Oryzias latipes: one gene and its partner. The protein of the gene in region 1 interacts with the protein of each later gene in a biochemical or structural test. Links are inferred from orthologs where the notes say so. Each region holds a gene or a part of one and is shown on either strand. Other genes may lie near its edges. The genes, in order: irak4 and E3 ubiquitin-protein ligase pellino homolog 1.

Evidence for each region.
Region 2: of the proteins of irak4 (region 1) and E3 ubiquitin-protein ligase pellino homolog 1, one has a biochemical effect on the other in vitro, tested with the Homo sapiens proteins (4 studies listed by BioGRID and IntAct). The link is inferred for Oryzias latipes from reciprocal best matches to the Homo sapiens genes IRAK4 and PELI1.

Annotation. Positions count from the first base shown.
Region 1 is NC_019864.2:12,581,626-12,585,547, reverse strand, and holds the start of irak4 (interleukin-1 receptor-associated kinase 4), read left to right. Parts: upstream 1-1,079; 5' UTR 1,080-1,263; coding exon 1,264-1,424; intron 1,425-1,711; coding exon 1,712-1,857; intron 1,858-1,995; coding exon 1,996-2,142; intron 2,143-3,239; coding exon 3,240-3,400; intron 3,401-3,479; coding exon 3,480-3,544; intron 3,545-3,616; coding exon 3,617-3,731; intron 3,732-3,820; coding exon 3,821-3,922.
Region 2 is NC_019873.2:11,871,568-11,875,245, forward strand, and holds part of E3 ubiquitin-protein ligase pellino homolog 1, read left to right. Parts: intron 1-425; coding exon 426-555; intron 556-930; coding exon 931-1,032; intron 1,033-1,524; coding exon 1,525-1,722; intron 1,723-1,813; coding exon 1,814-2,002; intron 2,003-3,265; coding exon 3,266-3,678. UniProt on the Homo sapiens protein: E3 ubiquitin ligase catalyzing the covalent attachment of ubiquitin moieties onto substrate proteins. Involved in the TLR and IL-1 signaling pathways via interaction with the complex containing IRAK kinases and TRAF6.

The DNA of each region.
Region 1 (3,922 bases):
TTAAAAGTTATGGTTCATGATATCAATTACTTCCATGATTCATGCATACGAAGGTTAGTGGAACCAATACATTAAATCTTTCAAGAAAAATGATCTATATATTTGTGTTGTTTTTATCTATTTACTTTGGGGAATTTTTTCAAAATAAAGTAATCCGAAGAATGTTCCAGCATGAGCTCTGAACTTCATCTCCAGCAGTAGCTCTCTGGACTGAACTTCTTGGACAGATTTGTTGGGAGAAAGCAAAGCGTTTGCTGAAACATTTCTTGTGAGTTCAAGAGGTGTCATTTAAAATATTACATAGATTTTATCCAACAAATCAATACATGCATATAGGTTAAAAAGAGATTTATGTTTTGTAAAACATTTGAAGGAACATAAATACATATATGTTTGACCTGTAAGTATAATAAATCAGTTTGGAGCAAATTGTCAAGTCAACTCAAATGTAACCCCATTTCTTTTTGAAATGGAAAAGCATTCAGTTTGGGTTTACTGATGATGAACAAATAAGCCATTGTCACAATTGTATTTGATTAATCTTATGATCTTTCTAACAAAACATTATATTTACTAAACCAAAGTAAGTAATAAAACTCCAAATTTCTTTTAATCATTTGCCCAAATGAGATATCATTTAACCTCTACATTATCCAAAACAAAAAAACTATTATCAAAATCCTCTTTCTCAGATTTATAGATTAACATAATTTTACTTTTATTTTTGTGTTTTTTAAACTTTATCTTTAAAAAGAAATCGATGCAGTTGATTGCTCTGTTCCTTACTGATTGTCATTTTTGTTTTAAATAAAGATTCCTAAAAAGAACTTTTTTTCATGAAATGAGTGGTATGTCCACTAGATGGCAGTGTTACACTACTAACATGTTGCTAACATGTTAGTAGTGTAACACTAACAACAACTAAAGGCTTCTTTGGGTGCTTCAGGGGTTTTTGAAAACCTCTGAACAGAAGGTACCTGGGACATTAGCAAAGTCAGAACTTGTATTTATTAAAACCACACAAAATGTTTTTTAAAAATTCAAAAAAAGAGGCGGTGGCGGATTAGTAGACCAGCCCCTCTTTATTACGTTTTAAGGAAGTTGCTCAACGTCGGAAACCCCATTTTACCGAGTCGAAAACAAACTAACCATTTCTGTTTACGTTTAGTCCCGAGTTTCTTTGAACGTAATCAAGCGTTGCTTGTTTGCTTACCATGTAATTTGTCGAAAAAAGTCGAACTTTTGTTTGGAACGTGTCGTAGGATGGACAGCTCGGTGACTTCCGCCACGTACGTTCGCAACATCAGCTACAGTTTGCGCCGCAAGCTGTCCGACTGTCTGGACCCTTACGAGACCTGGAGAGACCTGATTGTGGCCCTACGGAAGCCGAATGGGGAGCCCAGGTACACTCAGCATCATGTAAGGTGAGAAAAAAAACTGTTTGGGGGGGAGGTTTGAATACAAGGAAGGCGACAGAGTGCACTTAATTAAATTTTCATTGTGCCAAATATTATGGTTATCTAAATATACTAATAACAATCCCTTTTGCTCCCTTTTTATCTGTGAAATTATAAAGTATGCTGCATTTTTTTTAAAACTCAGAAAATATAGACATTTGTGAAAAATACAATTTGAATAATTGGTGATGCGCCATCCTTATACGTTTGTGAATAACATTAATATCCTTTTAATTTGTCGCTGTTTGCTTCAGGAGATTTGAAGGTCTTGTTGCTCAGGGTAAAAGCGTCACCGTGGAGCTGCTCAATGACTGGGGGACCACCAACAGCACAGTGGGGGAACTGGTGGACATCCTGAGGAGTCTAAACCTCCTGGCTGCTGCCAATCTGCTATTACCTGGTGAGATCAATAACAGTTTTTGTTCTTTTCTACTCCAGGCTAAAGGATGAGTTATTGTTTTTATTATGACAAATAGACCACAAATGGCATGACTTGTTCTTTTCCTTTTTGTATTTGTGCTGCACATGAACAACAAAGAGGTTCTATCCAAAGAAACACAGCAGGTATCCTCAGTGAAGGCAGAAAAATGTCCTCCAACCTTACTGCTGGGTGAGGCCCCAAATCCACCTGCTGGCTCCTCCCTGCAGACACAAACACTGCTGGATGATGGAGGAGACGACACAGGTGGGTGCAAAGTTTTCTCTAAACCTTATTTCATCATCTTCGGTCAGATATGTTTTATATGATATGTGTGATTACTTATGGATTATTAGGAACACATTTTAGTCAAGTCAGCTTTATTGTCAAATATACTGTATACACAAGATATACAGCACAGATGAAATTTCTTTCCTCTTAACCCACAGCTTGTAAAATTAACAATAATAACAATAATTTAAATAGGTCAGTGCAAAATATTGAGATATTTTAAAGTGATAACAGGGCTAAGAAACAGTAAGTAGAAGAGTGGGTGATGGCAGTTTAGCTCAACTATACAAAATATTTATTTTAAACTGGCTTCCTGAAAGATTCTGTATCTAACTATAACTCTATGTTCAAATCTTAAAGACCCACTCCAAGGAAAACCATGTTTTTAACATATTCTTGTGGCATTTTTCTGATGGAGGACATGTATAACGCATATTGGGCTTAAAATTGCATTTCTGAGTACCGGTATGTCTTTATTCAAATCACTGTGAATCAGGAGCAGACAAAAACAATGCTGTTGGAAAAATTGTTATGTAGAACTTACAATGACAGGCCACACACTCCCTGCTCTTCTGTTTATCCACTTGTAGACAAATAGACCCATGTCTGTCTTCGTTTTCCTCATCTGAGCTGGCATCTAGCTCTAAACTGCACTGCTGGATGGCTCTGTTATTGCTCGCTGTTTTTGTTGCACCACTAATGTTAAGTGGGGGTGTAAGGGACTGTAAGCTAGTGGGAGATTATGTAAACAGCTCTCAGTTATGGGTGATGGGAAGGGGAGTGGGGCTGCTCTGCACCAACAAGAATCCTTGAAAAACCAACAGAACATTTTACCTCTTGGAAATTGACTGCTGTAGAGGCTTAAACTAGATCTTTGTTTAAACCCTTAATGCATTCCGATTTATTCCTTCAATAATTATAGAATTGCTTGCAGTCCCTAATATGTAGCTCTGAATGTATAAAGGGAATTGAGCTGATTTAAAAAAAAAAAGACCTATGACTAAATACAAGTTTGCATATCTGACCAGCAGATGGCAGCACTGATTTTTTTTTTTTAACCACTCGTGCTTTAGGTGTCTCCAGATTCCTGTACGGAGAGCTTATGAGGATCACCAGGAACTTCGATGACCGGTCCATCTCAGACGGCGGCAGTCGTATTGGTGCGGGAGGCTTCGGGACAGTCTACAAAGGTTTGCTAGACAGCAGACTAGTCGCAGTAAAAAAACTCAGTCCAGTACGTGGGATCGTTTAAACACATTCTTTAAAACGTTGCAGATACTGTCTGCGAAGCTCTAAAATATTGTCTCGTTTAGATGGAGGACATGCCGCTGGAAAGTTTACAACTTCAATTTAACCAAGAGATTCAAACTTTGAAAGTGTAAGTTTGATATACTTTTAGCCAGAGGATTAATACCAGTAAACACAAAAGTCTTATTACCCGGTTCCTCAGGCTAAAACACCAAAACCTGGTTGATATGGTTGGATTTTCCTCTGATGAGCAGCATCTGTGCATAGTGTATGCCTTAATGGCAAACGGATCTTTGCTGGATCGACTTGCTTGTTTGGTGAGCAGCATGCAACACTTAACATACATCTAGATACGTAAAGGCCGAGCTGTCCATCATCAAAATCAGTGGTATGATTGCTCGTGCAGGATGGAAGCCCCCCTCTGTCCTGGCAGCTGAGGTGCTTCATATCCGAAGGGGCAGCTAGAGGACTGGAGTATCTTCACTCCAACCATCATGTCCACAGAGAC
Region 2 (3,678 bases), on another chromosome or scaffold:
AGAAACCACAAACCTGCGGGAACCCTGGCTCAGATCAGGACTTTAGGTTTTCGCCTCGTCTGTCCCAAATAACCGGCTCAGGCGTGTGTGAGTCCACTGAGCAGGTGGTGAAAGATTGATGCTACAGCTGTCTGTGAAGCTGCAGGAAGGAGTCCTCACTGCCATGATTTGCTCCTTTAATCAGAGGAGGCGCAGTAAAAAGGCCACACACACACACACACACACACACAAACACACACACTCCTGTCCTTAGCCAGGCTCAGTGATGTCAGCGTGTTTTTCTGCAGCGACGTGCACTCGCGCTCGGAGGACGTTTTCTGGGAACATCAGGAGGGGGCCTGCAGAGTCTAACCCGCCATGTTTTTTACTCCCTGTATTGTATAGGACGGTCCCACTAAAGAGTGTATGTGTTTGTGTGTGTGCAGGTACAATGGCTCTCTGCCCAACGGGGACCGGGGCCGGCGCAAAAGCCGCTTCGCGCTCTACAAGAGACCGAAAGCAAACGGAGTGAAACCGAGTACGGTTCACATCTCCTGCTCCCCGCAAGCAGCCAAGGTAACACGCACTAACACACGAAGAGGCAGAAAGCACCTCACTGCTCCTAAACCTATCGTCTTCATCAGCAGCATTTGACTCCTCCCCCTACCACAAGCACATGGTCCGAGTGTCTCCTCAGTTTTCATGAATTCTGTTTAAAAAAAAGCAAAGTAGTATGAAAAGGTGTAAAAAAATATAATCAAATCAGGCAGAATGGAGGTTTTTCTGTTAATGAAGACATAAAATGAAGGAGCATGTTCCCTCAGCAGACCTGAAGGGCGCGCCCTGCTGGTCGGACACTGTCCCGCCCCACCTTCACTGTAGAGCAGAAAATAATGACTGATTAATCGGCTTCCTGTGTCCTCAGTCAACTTTTTTTTCCTGTTCCATCAGGCCATAAGCAACAAAGACCTGCACAGCATCTCCTACACTCTGTCCCGAGTCCAGACGGTGGTGGTGGAGTACACCCACGAGAGCAATACTGACATGTTCCAGGTGAGACGCACACGCCTGAGAAGTCTGTCGCTGCTGAAAACATTTGAGCCTCAAAACTAAGAGATCATCTTCATCGGCAGAACGTTGGTGTATCGTCAGGTCTTTGATGAAAAACCTGACGATGAATCAGGAAGGAAAACTCAACATATCAAAGTTACATGACCTAAAAAGCATCAGAAAATCACGATATCTCATGTTTTCTATGAAAGATGAACTTAAAACACGAACAGCAAAAGAATTCTGTCCAAGTCAGAAGCATCAGCGGTTATAAGAATTCCCCGAAATGATATGAAAACTTCACACTTTGCCACAGAAAAACGCAGAACTTTGGGCTTTTTTAACCTCATTAAAGTGCACGGTTTCCCTGGCAACCACCAAATTTTAACAGCCTCACTGAGGTCACAAACTTCTGTTTCCCTCTGGTCTCCCACATCGACTCTTAGCTGATCTCACTGCTGATTCCTGCTGAGTCATCTTTCTGTCTCCCGTCAGATCGGCCGATCCACGGAGAGTCCGATCGACTTTGTGGTGACGGACACAGTGGCCGGCAGCCAGAGCAACGCCGACACCCAGTCGGTCCAGAGCACCATCTCCCGCTTCGCCTGCCGCATCCTGTGCCAGCGCACACCGCCTTACACCGCCCGCATCTACGCCGCAGGCTTCGATTCCTCCAAGAACATATTTCTAGGGGTGAGCGGCGCTTCTCCTCCTTGTTGGGGGTTTGACCCCGCCCCTTGGAGAGGCGAGGAGACCCTGATGTCGCTGTCCATCTCTGTTCCAGGAGAAGGCTGCAAAGTGGGAGACGTCTGACGGTCAGATGGACGGGCTGACCACCAACGGCGTGCTGGTCATGCACCCGCGCAACGGCTTCACGCAGGACTCCAAACCAGGCGTCTGGAGGGAGATCTCCGTCTGCGGGAATGTCTTCACCCTGAGGGAGACGCGCTCGGCGCAGCAGCGGGGGAAGATGGTGAGAAGACCGGGCTGCGTTTGCTCCTCTCGTTCGGTTCTGATCCAAACCCGCTCGTCTGACTCACACCTGTTAAACTTGGTTGAACACGATCCCATCTCCATGGCAACCGTGTGTCCGTCACAGCTGAGTGGAACAAGAGCGAGCAAGCAATCCTCAGGGGGCGTCACCAGCGCTCAGCCAATCAGCAACCAGAATATATTTAGCCACACAAACCATCCACTTTGACAAAAAGATCCAATCTGATCCGCTTGGTTCCTGTCGTCACAAACGCGACTGATTGTTAAGAAGTTGTTCTTTCGTTCATAAAAGCTGAAGTGCCTGTGCAGCGTCAGGCCTGTTAGCCTCTGCTTTTTTTCAAGAATTCCTCTAAGTTTAAACCTGTTTTCAAATTTACATTTTTTAGTTTTTCAATGGGCAATCTTGTCTTTCACTCACTTTCAGCTGATCCTGATCTGACCTTATGCTTGAGATCCAGGAAGGATAAAGGCTTTGTGTTGCCACGACAACCTTTGAGCAGCATTACCAGCTGTAAACGTTAGATGAGTTTTCACATTAGATTCAGCCTGAAAGCTGCCAGGTTTGGAAACCAGGTGACTTCTGGTCTCTGTCCTCCTCTCCTCATATCAGGAGAACCATTTTTGGACCCTGACCTCAGAAAGAGTTTGAGTTCAGGATTCCTGTTTTAGCCACCCCCACCCCATGTAAATACATAAATCTAAAGAGGCTTGACAATTCTTTTATGAACTTGTTAGTTTTAGAATTCCTGCAAGCAGCAGGAGGAACACTGAAGATCCCAGCAAACATTCCCAGGATCTGTGGAGGTCACGCTGCCCTCATCTCAGCGTCTCCCCCCCCCTTTCCCACCTTAAAATTAGTCCTCTGGTTTTTCCTGGTTTTTCCCCCACCTGATCTCTAAACCCGGAATTTCCCGCTGATCTCGCTGTGTGGCAGAAAAATTCCTGCGTCCTTCTTGCCATTCACATGTGCACATCTGGATGGAGATGCCTGTGTTCTGCTGCCACCTGCTGTCCTAAGAGTGGTACTGCAGCCTCAAAGCCAACACCTCTGACAGAGTTCACACGTCCAGGTTCTTGTTTAGATATTTTCTGCTTTTTAAGTCATTTTCAGCGCAGAATTCAGACAATTTAAAATGTTGGCGACCTCCTAGATTAGTCTTGGTTTAGTTCTGGGTTTTTTTCAGAAAGGGGAAGAAGTTCAAACTGCGTTCCTCGCTGAACTTCCTGCATGTTTGTGTTCCAGGTGGAGACGGAGTCTCATGAGCTTGTGGACGGCTCGCTCATTGACTTGTGCGGCGCCACCCTGCTGTGGCGCACGGCCGAGGGCCTGTCGCGCACCCCCACCCTGAAGCACCTGGAGGCCCTTCGGCAGGAGATCAACGCAGCACGGCCGCAATGTCCCGTGGGCTTCAACACGCTAGCCTTCCCCTCCATGCGCCGCAAAGACACGCCAGACGAGAAGCAGCCATGGGTCTACCTCCAGTGCGGTCACGTGCATGGATACCACGACTGGGGCAACCACCGGGAAGAGCGGGAGGGCCGTGAGGGTCGGCTCAGGGAGTGTCCCATGTGCCGCGCCAAGGGTCCGTACGTGCCGCTGTGGCTGGGCTGCGAGGCGGGCTTCTACGTGGACGCGGCACCGCCCACCCACGCCTT